Linked DNA regions of Cricetulus griseus. The protein of the gene in region 1 binds, or shares a complex with, the protein of each later gene. Links are inferred from orthologs where the notes say so. Each region holds a gene or a part of one and is shown in the gene's direction. Other genes may lie near its edges.

Evidence for each region. Proteins that work in one complex are often made in the same cells at the same time.
Region 2: Med23 (region 1) and Med18 share a complex: the UniProt entries of both Homo sapiens proteins name them as parts of the mediator complex. The link is inferred for Cricetulus griseus from reciprocal best matches to the Homo sapiens genes MED23 and MED18.
Region 3: the proteins of Med23 (region 1) and Med24 are in contact, whole or in part, in a cryo-EM structure (PDB 7EMF), measured with the Homo sapiens proteins. The link is inferred for Cricetulus griseus from reciprocal best matches to the Homo sapiens genes MED23 and MED24. Residues at the interface, in NP_004821.2 of Homo sapiens: Asn150, Thr151, Val152, Ser153, Ser154, Glu193, Gly194, Leu196, Pro197, Trp199, Leu201, Gly202, Asn203, Ser206, Asp207, Asp210, Arg213, Tyr258, Asp259, Lys260, Phe263, Ser1133, Arg1139, Ser1176, Glu1180, Glu1182, Trp1183, Val1184, Tyr1186, Arg1189; in NP_055630.2 of Homo sapiens: Lys238, Thr239, Leu280, Leu283, Lys287, Val291, Glu295, Cys336, Glu339, Phe340, Lys343, Leu344, Thr345, Pro346, Leu347, Asp349, Lys350, Gln353, Lys384, Glu720, Lys721, Trp723, Thr756, Arg757, Lys758, Glu759, His760, Met802, Asp803, Pro804.
Region 4: Med23 (region 1) and Med7 share a complex: the UniProt entries of both Homo sapiens proteins name them as parts of the mediator complex. The link is inferred for Cricetulus griseus from reciprocal best matches to the Homo sapiens genes MED23 and MED7.

What each region holds. Positions count from the first base shown.
Region 1 is NC_048595.1:244,044,923-244,049,110, forward strand, and holds the start of Med23 (mediator of RNA polymerase II transcription subunit 23), read left to right. Parts: upstream 1-1,379; 5' UTR 1,380-1,501; coding exon 1,502-1,549; intron 1,550-1,855; coding exon 1,856-1,887; intron 1,888-1,997; coding exon 1,998-2,085; intron 2,086-3,739; coding exon 3,740-3,864; intron 3,865-4,188. UniProt on the Homo sapiens protein: Required for transcriptional activation subsequent to the assembly of the pre-initiation complex. Component of the Mediator complex, a coactivator involved in the regulated transcription of nearly all RNA polymerase II-dependent genes.
Region 2 is NC_048595.1:20,804,479-20,807,004, forward strand, and holds the end of Med18 (mediator of RNA polymerase II transcription subunit 18), read left to right. Parts: intron 1-877; coding exon 878-1,431; 3' UTR 1,432-2,021; downstream 2,022-2,526. UniProt on the Homo sapiens protein: Component of the Mediator complex, a coactivator involved in the regulated transcription of nearly all RNA polymerase II-dependent genes.
Region 3 is NC_048600.1:111,791,858-111,795,377, reverse strand, and holds part of Med24 (mediator of RNA polymerase II transcription subunit 24), read left to right. Parts: intron 1-50; exon of another isoform or gene 51-153; intron 154-284; coding exon 285-367; intron 368-683; coding exon 684-862; intron 863-981; coding exon 982-1,081; intron 1,082-1,364; coding exon 1,365-1,540; intron 1,541-3,453; coding exon 3,454-3,520. UniProt on the Homo sapiens protein: Component of the Mediator complex, a coactivator involved in the regulated transcription of nearly all RNA polymerase II-dependent genes.
Region 4 is NC_048600.1:60,992,647-60,994,840, forward strand, and holds the end of Med7 (mediator of RNA polymerase II transcription subunit 7), read left to right. Parts: exon of another isoform or gene 1-36; intron 37-732; 5' UTR 733-749; coding exon 750-1,451; 3' UTR 1,452-1,689; downstream 1,690-2,194. UniProt on the Homo sapiens protein: Component of the Mediator complex, a coactivator involved in the regulated transcription of nearly all RNA polymerase II-dependent genes.

The sequences.
Region 1 (4,188 bases):
CCAAAGTTGTATTAAAAGTAATTTATTGGGAGAGTACTCTCCAGTGGTACATCTTTTTATAAGACATCCATGCGTGGAATAGGAGTTTCCAGTGATGTGGCTGCCCATGTCACCATGCTGCTATAAGTAATTATAATAAACTCATTGGTTCACCAAGCTGCACTTGAATGGAATCCTTTATTTAATCTGTCAATGCCCTCTGTTTGTGGTATGTAAACGTTAATTTACATCTCCCCAAGGAAAAATCATGTGACAAGTTATCACCAGCCACAATGTATAATTTTTAAAAATCATGGACTTAACTTCAGCTGAAACTCTGAAGTTTCTGGGAAAAAAAAAAAAAAACATTGATAGCATCATGTCCTTAGAATAAAGGAGAAATTATTGATAACAAGACAACAACCACAACAAATTCAAAGTATCCATGAAAATTAATCTACAATGAAAGAAATGTTTAATAAAGTAAGAAAATATTCCAGGACTCAGGTGGTTGAGGCAGGAAGATTTTGAGTTCCAGGCTAACCTGGGCTATATAGTGGTCTCTGTTTAGCCTACTTAGACTACAAAAGACCCCATCTTGAAAAGAACCAAAGGAGAGAGGAGGTGAGAAGAAAGGGAGGAAAATGGAGGGGAGGGGAGAGACTAAGGGAGGGAGGAAAGAAAGAAAAAGAGGAGGGGATAGAAGTGTTATCCGAGAGCACAAACTAAAGCAAAGAAAAATGTTGTCTATATAAGATGAAAAACTTGAATACAGGATGTATTAGAACCACAAATAAGCTTATGAAAAATTATATGATTGACAGTAGACAGAAGATGTAAACAGTCCAGTCATAAACATCAAGGATGTGACAAACGAATGGTAGTATAAATAGAGAGTGCTTTCTGGATTTAGGGCAGTGTGGTTGAGCAGCTGGCTGCATAAATTTTCCAGGGCGATGCAAAATAGTGTTTTTAATCATGTGCTTAACATCACCAATCAAAATTAATTAAATTAATAACAATGCGCTTATTCCTTTTTTTTTTTTCAAAATTCATCGAAAGAACGTGCCCATCTCCTAGCAACTGAGGCAACTACCATAAAGAAGATAGGGTGCACGCGGGCAAGAATAAAGCGGTATCGACTCTTTCAGATGGTCAGTCCTTGACAGGCATCGCTTGGTTTGGCTGCAAAAGAACTTAAAATATGACGCAGCTCCGTCTCCAGCCAGGAGGTGGTGACCAAGGCAGCAGGTCTCATATCAAACAAGGTGCGCTTGTCAGCTTGCGGGCCACCTCAGCTTGCGGAACCATCGGGTAGGGCTACAGATACTCGGAGTGGTTGTAATGAGAGCGCACCGGGCCCTTCCGAGCTTCCGGGCGGGCTCTCTTTAGTTGCGGACCTCTGAAGGAAGCGAGCGAGAAAGCCGGGCTTCCTTCCTGTGGTTCCTCCCCTTGGCACCTTTCTTCCCGGATCGAGGGGTTTACCCGCGCCTTGGCGGGCACCCCGGGAGCCCGGGGCTCGATGGTAACGATGGAGACGCAGCTGCAGAGCATTTTCGAGGAGGTGGTGGTGAGTGCAAATGTCCGTGACCAGGGGGAGAGGGGGTGGGGGAAGTAGGGAGGAGACTGCGGCCCGGCTCTGGGCCTGGACCAGGGCCGGCTCCTTTCCCGCCCCCTTTGTTTGTTTTGACATTGGAGTCTATACTAGGGTTGGCGATCCCTGGGCAGCTGTCAGATTCAAAGAAAGCATCGTTAGTTCCCGCGCGTTCCTGATAAAAGTGACTTGTTCTATATTGCCCTAAACTATTTCTCTAGGGAACACCTCCCACCCCCTTTTGATTATTCAGATCCTTTACTGTATTTTGTTTGTTTGCAGAAAACAGAAATTATAGAAGAGGCTTTCCCAGGGTGAGTATGAGGCAGGCAGGATTTTTGTGAGATGTATCTTTGTAAGATTTTACTTACGTTGGTTTGGGGGAGTTGCAATAATTGCAAGTAATGTGATTTTTGTTTTTTAGCATGTTTATGGATACCCCTGAGGATGAAAAAACAAAACTAATTAGCTGTTTGGCAGCCTTCCGACAGTTTTGGAATGGGCTTTCTCAGGTGAGACATTACCTATGTAACAGCCAGTTGATGACTTCTGGTTCCTTCTTACTTTTTATGTCCACATTGACCTTTTTCTTAAGATCATTTAGGAATAGGAAAAATAAAATTGCCATCATTTTACATTCATATCTTTTTTTGCCACCCCCAAGACAGGGTTTCTCAGTGTAGCTTTGGAGCCTGTCCTGGAACTTGCTCTGTAGACCAGGCTGGCCTCGAACTCACAGAGATCTGCCTGCCTCTGCTTCCCAAAGTGCTGGGAATAAAGTCATGCACCACCACCGCCTGGCTACATTTATTTCTTTACTGCAGAACCTGCATTGAAAGTTCAATGTAATAAGATCCCAGTGGGAGATGTTTTTTTAAAAAATTTCTTTCATGTTAGATTATATAAGACATTTTATTCTATTTTGATACATTTGCTTTCCACATGGAAACAGATAATGTTAAGCATTTCTTGTAAAAGAAAAATGTCACGGTTGAAAAAAATTACCCAGGATTTATGAGTATACCCTCCTAAAGATGCTGTAATAGAGTCCCTGTTAGTACATTATCTTCTCATGGTACACTAAACATAGGGAAGTGAGCTACTGAGCTTTTGCCTCTGAGCCAGTGGTAATGTTTGCCACCCTAAAGACAATATGTTCTAAGTTTATTTTCAAAAGGTAGTACTTTGCGTGAATCAGAAAGCAGAAGAGTGGCTCCAAAGGCTGGTTTTCTTCCTTTTCTAGCTTAGCTCCCCCCCAACCCCCGTCTGAAGCTAGAATCACAGTTGGTGGTCCCTGAACTGTTTATCTACATATGAGACTGTGTCTGTCTATGTCACCCCGCCTTTGTCTCCTGAGTTCTGGGATTACAGAGTCGTCTGCCATCACAGTGTGCTTTTTCTCTTTTAACAGTGCTGGGAATACGGGGTTCCTTCCACATGCTAGGCATACGCTCCTCTCTGAACTGCATCCCCAGCCTCAGAATTATATTTTTATTTTATAGAATCACCATTTGTATACACCTGAAAGATGGTCTTGATATCAGCAAGACTTTTGGTGTCAGATTTTAATTATGAAGACCTAGAAATTAGATTTGTGTTTGGAATCATGGCAGGCTCTGATTAGCCTTCATGGGGACTGTATTCATCTAAATTTTGATGAGGCTGAGGTCCCCACCTAAGTTAGGTTCTTTTCCTCCAGCAAGTGGAATATTTATATCACCTTGTAAAGATGCTGCTTAGAGTAACTTAGATGAGTTTCTATTGGCCGTGAATTTGCTAATATAATCTTAGCGGCTTTTGGAGGTCTCATGGTAGGAGTTTAATTGAAATATTTAAGAATCAGTGTAACAAATACTAATTAAATCTTTATTTGGGGGCAAGGTCTTGCTAGATATAGCTCAGGCTGACAGAACTCTATATGTAGCCCAGGATAGCCTCACATAGACGTCATCCCCTCAAGTACTGGGTTTACTGGCATATACTACCATGCCCACAGTTGAATCTGACTTGAATCTTGCCCTTTTAGGAATTATTTTAATTTACTGATGTTCACAGTCCAATATTTTATTTACGGTACTGATATATCCCCTGGTATGATATTAACCATTTCTGTTCCTTAGAAAATGTAACTTCAGGCCTAAAATAAAAACTTTTTCTAATTTTTAGGATTCTCATGAACAATGCATCCAGTGGATTGTTAAATTTATTCATGGCCAACACAGCCCTAAAAGAATTTCTTTCCTTTATGACTGCTTGGCAATGGCAGTTGAGACTGGCCTCCTTCCACCCAGGTATGTGTGGGTGGGGATGACCTGTACAAAGACCTTCCCTCCAAAAGAGGCAGAGTTGATTTGAGGTTGTTGTACAGAGATAAGAGATGGAGAGGGGCCTGGGCTCGTTAGTAAGTCAGTTTAAAAGTCGGTTATTTTTGGTTTCAAATTTATTTTGTTTTTGATGTGTATGCATCTGCGTTACTAGTTGCTATGTTTATAGGAATGCCTGAGAGGCCAAAGTGGGTGTCGGATCCCTTAGAGCTAGAGGTAACAGGTAATGGGAGCCACCTGGCATGGCTTCTGGGACCTGGACTCGGCTTCTTCGAGAAAGTGTGAGCTCTG
Region 2 (2,526 bases), about 220 Mb from region 1:
GGCCTTGCATTCCAAGCACATGCTCTACCATTGATTGACAGCCAGCTGCAATTATTTATTTCCAGCTAATGAAATTCTACTTATGGAACAAATTCAAATTTTCCTTTTCATATAATTGTACTTAAGAACAAGAAGACAGGCATGGTTTTGTATGCCTTTAATCCCATCACTCCAGAGGCAGACACAGGTGGATCCCCAAATTCAAGGCTAGCCTGGTCTACAGAGCAAGTTCCAGGATAGCCTGGACTATACAGAGAAATCTTGTCTCAAAAAATAAAGAAAACTGGCTATGGGCTCACAAGACAGCTTAATTTGTAAGGTTATGTCTTAGTTTCTGTTCTGTTTCTTGGCACCATGACAAGGCAACATTTACAAAAGAAAGCATTTATTATTGCAGGCTTGCTTACAGTTTCAGAGGTTTAGGATCATTATGGTGAGGAGCATGGAAGCTAGCAGGCAGGTAGGTGCTGGAGCAATAGCCCTGAGCTACAGCCTGATCCACTGGTAGAGAGAAAGACACTGGGGCTGGCGTGGGCTTTTGAAAACTCAACCCACTCCTGGTGTTGTAACTCCTTCCAATAAGCACATGCCTTCTAATTTTTCCGTAAACATTCTGTTGCCTGGGGACTAGACCTTCAAATGTAAGAGCCTATGGGAGCATTCTTACTCCAACCACCACGGGGTACTTGCTTTGAAGCCTGATAGCCTGAGATCAATCTATGAGAACCACATAGCAGAGGTAGAGAACCAGTAGAATCCCATGGATGGTTCACATGAAACAATGCATAGAATTATTATTTATTGGTGTGTGTTTATCTTCTGCTAGTTTCATGACTTTGCATGAAATCCAGGACTCATTGTCTTTTTACCTCTTCAGGGAGTGTTTTAGACCACAGTTTGGAAAGTCTCATCCATCGCCTTCGTGGTTTGTGTGACAACATGGAGCCTGAGACTTTCCTTGATCACGAGATGGTATTCCTTCTTAAGGGCCAGCAGGCCAGTCCATTTGTTCTAAGGGCCCGACGCTCCATGGACAGGGCAGGGGCACCGTGGCACCTGCGCTACCTGGGACAGCCAGAAATGGGAGACAAGAACCGTCACGCCTTGGTTCGCAACTGTGTGGACATTGCCACATCTGAGAACCTCACAGACTTCTTGATGGAAATGGGCTTCCGCATGGACCATGAGTTTGTAGCCAAAGGACACTTGTTCCGGAAGGGCATCATGAAGATTGTGGTGTACAAGATTTTCCGAATCCTGGTCCCAGGGAACACAGACAGCACAGAGGCCCTGTCTCTCTCCTATCTTGTGGAATTGAGTGTTGTTGCACCAGCTGGGCAGGACATGGTCTCTGATGACATGAGGAATTTTGCGGAGCAGCTCAAACCTCTGGTTCACCTGGAAAAAATAGACCCCAAAAGGCTTATGTGATTAAGAAGGTCTGTCCATCTTTGAGGTCTGTCCTCACCTGATAGGCAGAAAGATCTCCCAAGTGCCCTGGTTCACTGCTGCCAGTCAGGCCGACTCCCTTCCGGAAAACTTAAGTGGTGAGAATATGTTTCCTTTGGACCATTTCCTTTATATAGTAATTTCATCTTTTGTGTTTGTTTGTTTCTTGGTGGCAGGGTCTTACCCTGGCTCACCTGGAACTCACTCCGTAACTAGCCAGTAACGCAGAGCCCGTCTGCCTAATTACCCACATTAAGGCTCTCCTTACGAAGCCGGCTGTTTGATCTCCTTGACAGTCTTCTCCCATTAAAAGCCCAGGATAACATGGAGATTTGACCAAGTCCTCCCTCTGCTCAAAGAGAGGGAACTGGAATAAATTAGCTTTTCAGAGGAAAATGTCAAAAAACAACTCTGATGATTGTTTTGCCTTTTCATTGTTTTTATATATATATTATTTATTTATTTTTTGTTTTCATGTTTTTGTTTATCTTACTTTGTCATTTGTATATAAGATGTGTAACAGTGTTGTGAGCTGGCATTGTATGGTAATAAAGACGGGAAAGAAATTTCGATTCTGATCCTTATTCTTACTATTATTATTACTTCTTAACTATTTACTATTGTTATATTACCCTTTTACTATTATTGTTGTTGTGTATGTGTGTGGGCACACCTGTGGAGGGCCAGAGTCCTCTCCAGGACCACATATAGAAGGAGAGAACCGACTGCTGCAAGTTGTCACCCTCTATCTCCATGTGAAGTCATATAGTTTTTGTTCTTTTAATTTTTTGTTTTTCTTCTGAGGGAAACTTTCAGTCCTTTTTCTTTTCTTTATTTTTTTATTTTATTTTATTTTTTGGTTTTTGGAGACAGAGTTTCTCTGTGTAGCATTGGCTGTCTGGAACTCGCTCTATAGACCAGGCTGGCCTCGAGCTCACAAAGATGCCCTGCCTCTGCCTCCTGGGTGCTGGGACCAAAGGCGGGCGCCACCACTTCCAGGCTTTTCTACTTTTTTAGAAGTCTTACTCGGGATCCTACAAACAACCCTAGTGAGGCTTGGCTCATCTACTTTATATT
Region 3 (3,520 bases), on another chromosome or scaffold:
CCACCTCTCCACCTGTACCATTTCAGAATGGTTTGGGTTCTGGAGGTCTTGGTTTCCAAGGAAGGGATGATGTTCTAAGTAAGACCCAAGAAAAGGATTCTGAGCCTTAGAGCTTTGAAGCACCCACTGGGCCCTGACCTTCCTTCAGGAAATCCTGAGCTGGCATGTAGCCTCCATGCTTGCCTACTCTGCATGAGGCCTTCGGTCCCCAGCACCTCCTCTCCTGTACAGAGCTTGGGCCCTTGTCCTGGGCTGAGAGGTTGGCATTCTTGCCTTTCCCACAGCAAAAACAGCCTCTGTTCGTGCCTTGCTCTTCGACATCTCCTTCCTCATGCTGTGCCACGTGGCCCAGACCTATGGCTCAGAGGTGAGTGAAATGAGAGCTGGTGCCATTAAGAGGCACCAACTGAATGGGGCCCCATTGCTCTCCCAAGCCAGCAGGTTCTGTTGGCCTGAATTCTGGTGCCTGCTATGTCAGTGGGTCCCCAGCATTACAGGTCCTCTAGTGACATATTCACACTGACCACTAGGTGGCAGCACAGATCCCTGTCTGCCTCCCCTGCACACATTTGTCCTTGGAAAGGGAACAGCAAAAGAGCAGGGAACTGAGGCCCAGTCCCGGGCTCAGCTCTGACAGATGCCATACCGTCCTCTCTCAGCTGGTGCCTCTCTGTCTTATCCAGGTGATTCTCTCCGAGGCAAGCTCAGGAGAGGAGGTCCCCTTCTTTGAGACCTGGATGCAGACCTGCATGCCTGAGGAGGGCAAGATTTTGAACCCTGACCACCCTTGCTTCCGGCCTGACTCCACCAAAGTAGAGTCCTTGGTGGCCTTGCTCAACAACTCCTCTGAGATGAAGCTAGTGTTAGTGGCCTAGGTCCTGCCCTTGGGGTAGTCGTGGGGGCATTCCAAGACCCCCTCCCCACATCCTGTCTCCAGCTCCTTTGTAGTGATGCTCCTCCTATCACTTTCCCTCTCTGTAGACAGATGAAGTGGCATGAAGCCTGCCTGAGCATCTCAGCAGCCATTTTGGAGATCCTCAATGCCTGGGAGAATGGGGTGCTGGCCTTCGAGTCCATCCAGGTAGCTGCATTTGTACCTGGGCCTCCCTCTGCCTGAGACACAGGGCCAGTCATCGAGAGCTTGTTAGTTTGCATTCAAGCAAATCCTAAAGCCCGAGATCATGTTTTGGTATTAGTCTTAGAATCCTTGTCTTAGCCACTTCCTCCTTCTCAGTTATCTTTGAGAAAATCAAATTTGTGTTACAGAGGTATAGAATGTGATCCCCAGCTCTCCCAGACGCCATGGGAGTGATGGCTAAGGGGAGGCAAAGAGTCCCTAAGTCGCTCTCTTCTGCTCCCCACAGAAGATCACTGACAATATCAAGGGAAAGGTATGCAGTCTGGCAGTGTGCGCTGTGGCTTGGCTTGTGGCCCACGTCCGGATGCTGGGGCTGGATGAGCGTGAGAAGTCGCTGCAGATGATCCGTCAGCTGGCAGGGCCACTGTACAGTGAGAACACCCTGCAGTTCTACAATGAGAGGTCAGTAACCTGCCCTGCCCTTCCCGCCCCTCCCCTGCAGCCGTGTGGTGAGGAGTCAGCCCTCCAGGGACACAGGCATCCCACTCTGATGCTCTCTCTCGGCCTCCACCTTCCCAGGTAGCCGCTCACTAAGCCACTTCCCCTTCCATCTAGGTTCTGACCAGTCTGCCCTGGCAGCTGAGGGGGTGCACATTCAGAGTAGCTGGACTATCACCCACCTTTTCCCCTTTCCTACCACTCCCTCACATTCTTATTCACCCATTCATTCAACTGGCTCGGCAGGAATTTGGTGTGAGTCTCTGTGTATTAATCCTGCACCTCCCATAGGCAGGAAATATCGACCCCAAACAGCTTGACATCTGTCCTCCAGGCTCCAAATTCCAGAAAACGAGCTGAGGTAGAAGAGCAAAGGGATTAGCTGGCTTGGCTGTGTCACTGTCGAGGAACTCTGAGCCATCTGCAGCTTTTATGGCTTCCTTCCCCCACCCCCAGCTGTCCTGGTCACCAATTCAAGTCCTGGCTCTTCAGGGACTTCCACTAGGCTGAGTCCAGTCGCTTCATTCACTCCACTGTCAAGTTGTTTGACTGTTGGTTTTTAATGTGGCAAGAAGCATGTAATAGGCAATTTACCATTTCAGCTGTGTTTATATGTGTCATTCAGTATATGGGATCTGTTGTGAAACAGCCCTCCAGGCATTTTTCATCTTGTATATCTGGGCCTTTTACCCAACAAACATTGTCCACCTTCCCTTCTCTCAGTTCCTGGCAGCTACCATGCTGTGTCCTGTCCCGGAGTTTGGCTACGCTTAGATACTTCATATAACTAGAATTACGTAATATCTGCCTTCTCATGACTTTACTCAGCATAATTTCCTCAAAATTCACTCATATTCCAGCATGTGACAGGATTTCCTTCCTTCCTTTTTTTTTTTTTGGAGACAGGGTTTTTCTGTAGCCCTGACTGGCCTCAAAATCAGAGATGCTTCTGCCTCTGCCTCCCCAGTGCTGGGATTAAAGGTGTGCGCCACCACCGCCCAGTGATATCCTTTCTTTTTAAGCCCGTATGTGCCCTTTCTGACTACCATCCTGCCCTTGAGAGGCACTGGGGGAACACTGCTCTGAGTGGGTGCTGAGGGCAGCTCACAAGGCAGCTGCTAGGATGTTTTCTGAGCGACAGCTGAAACCGTTTGGGGAAGGGTCTGTAAGAGCACATCTGCTCTCCCCTTGCTATAGAAAATTTGCTTTGACATCATCCATCTCAAGTGTGTGTGTGTGTGTGTGTGTGTGTATACATGTGTACGTATGTGTGTGTATGTGTGCTTGCGCACATGCATGCATATGTACTCACACATACACGTACACGGGCACAGTGGAAATCCAGAGCCTCCTGTGCAGGTGGAGAGGAGCTCTGAAAGTAGCAGCAGCATCCCTGTGCCCCGATCCCCACTGCTTTCATAGCCCCAGATGTTCCTGAGAGGGTTCCTGGCTGTGAACACTTTGCCCAGCTACCCAAGGCTGGGAAGAGTCCTGGGGGCTGCCCAAGGGCCTCTTCTGGAAGTTACAGTTTACTTTGGGAGGAGGCCAAGGCTGGGCGGGGACATCCCCCCACCCCCAGTACTCAGTGGGAAGTGATTGTATTTATTTATGACCCTGATTTGGCAGAGCTCAGTCCTGGGGGATGGGAGAGGCTGGAGCGGGAGAGGGAGAACAGAAAATCTGAATATATTGATGGAACTTGCAAGAGAAAAATCTCTGCCCTGTGCCTTTCTAGGCTTCATGCGGAGCACGTAAGCTCCTTGTCAGTAGTGGTTGTATCGTGTCCTCCCCTAGTGTGCAGTGGGTCTAATTCCCCAGCCACGTTTCCGTAACCTAATTCCAGGGGTAATGCCTGCATGTATCCTCCTTGCCCCCAGAGTGGTGATTATGAACTCAATCTTGGAACACATGTGTGCGGACGTGCTTCAGCAGACAGCAACACAG
Region 4 (2,194 bases), on another chromosome or scaffold:
TTGAAGTTGATGTTGTCCAGGCTGCCCTGGTCATTGGTTGGTAATTTTTTTCCTCAGCAGTGAAGCTTCATGATACAGTGACAGATGTCATAAGAGCCTCTTCCTCCCACCACACCCCTTTATTTTCAGGATGCTTTGTATGGGTTTATCTTTGAGAAATTAACAAGTGCTAGTGTCTTTTGTGCTCAGAAAGGTTTTTTGTTTGTTTTTATTTTTTTCAATGCCATTACTGTAATTATGGGTACCTGCCTTCTGCTGGAATGGTGTGCCTTTCTAGATGTCTGCTGCACAGACCCTCTTCCCCCAGATGGGCAGGGAGGGGGTGGCAACAGAAGATCCTAGGCACAAAGCAAAAACAAGACACCCTGCACATCCATCCGTAGGCTGTTATCTTTCTTTTGCCTCAGCAGACACCCAGCTGATGTGTGGCTGCCCTAGCTTCCAATCCCCTCAGATTTTATTTATATATGAAAAAGAGTAACTTGTTTATTTAACTGCTCTGGAAAGCACCAAGGAGATAAAGGAAAACAATAGGGGTGTTAACAACATAATCTTTAATTAGAAAATAATTGATGGCCATTCCCTTTTTGTAAATGTTAGTTTTAAATCTGAGATCATCTTGTCTTGGACCCTGTCCTGTCAGAAGAAGGAAAAACATACTCTGAAGTCACTGATGGTGGTTGGGGGTAGTGTTGTCTGGTTCTGCTCTGAATCTGTGTTCTGTTTCTTTAGGTTCTTGATTGTCGACAATGGGTGAACCACAGCAAGTGAGTGCACTCCCACCACCTCCAATGCAGTACATCAAGGAATATACAGATGAAAATATTCAGGAAGGCTTAGCTCCCAAGCCTCCCCCTCCAATTAAAGACAGTTACATGATGTTCGGCAACCAGTTCCAATGTGATGATCTTATCATTCGCCCTTTGGAAAGTCAGGGCATTGAACGGCTTCATCCTATGCAATTTGATCACAAGAAAGAACTGAGAAAACTCAATATGTCTATACTGATTAATTTCTTGGACCTTTTAGATATCTTAATAAGGAGCCCTGGGAGTATAAAACGAGAAGAGAAGCTAGAAGATCTTAAGCTGCTTTTCGTACATGTGCATCATCTTATAAATGAGTATCGACCCCACCAAGCAAGAGAGACCTTGAGAGTAATGATGGAGGTCCAGAAACGGCAACGTCTTGAAACAGCTGAGAGGTTTCAGAAACACCTGGAACGAGTAATTGAAATGATCCAAAATTGCCTTGCTTCTTTGCCAGATGATTTACCCCATTCAGAAGCAGGGATGAGAGTTAAAACTGAGCCAATGGATACTGATGATAACAGCAATTGTACTGGACAAAATGAACAACAAAGAGAAAATTCAGGTCACAGGAGGGACCAGATTATAGAGAAAGATGCTGCCTTATGTGTCCTAGTTGATGAAATGAATGAAAGACCATGAGTATTTTTTCTTTTAGTGAATAGCATCATATATTAGTTTATTTTCTCTTGGACAGTCTTAAGAGGTATAACTAAAAATATAAAGGGACTTTTCTCAATTGAAATGCTGTAGGTGATAATTTAACAGTAAGGATAGGCAAGGAAGTATATTTGAGTAATGATCATAAAAAAGCAGAATGTTTGCTATTGAATGGGATAGTCCTATTTTTGGAAGTGGAATAAAAATTTTAAGAAATATTGAACTGTCATTCTTACGGGGGAGTTATTTCCTTTAAGACTAATAAAGGGCATCAAACTGTACATGTGAAATTACAAAATGTTTAGATTTATTCCAAAACAATACAGGAACTATTTTCCTGATGACTGTTCTACAAACTCAGTATCACAGCCGCTTCTTCCTTATCTTCCATAAAATATCTGCTAGGGGCTTCCCCTTCCCCCCAGTCAGGTAATCAGTCTTCGGTCACTAAGTTTATGTTCATTTTAGACATTAAAATATCTTATGTGCTAACTATATTTCCTGTGTTAGCTGTCTATGTGAGTGTGAGTGCATTTCCTGCAGAGGCTAAAAGGGTGTTGGCTTTTTTTGGAGTGAAGGTGGTTGAAAGCCATTTCTGTGGATGCTGAGAACCAAACTGGTACTATACAAAGAGCAGAATGTGAGCCACTGAGTCATCTCTCTAGCCTCTGCATTATTCCTTTAAAGCCGACGTCTGGTGTTAAATCTGGAAGTTTGCAATGAAA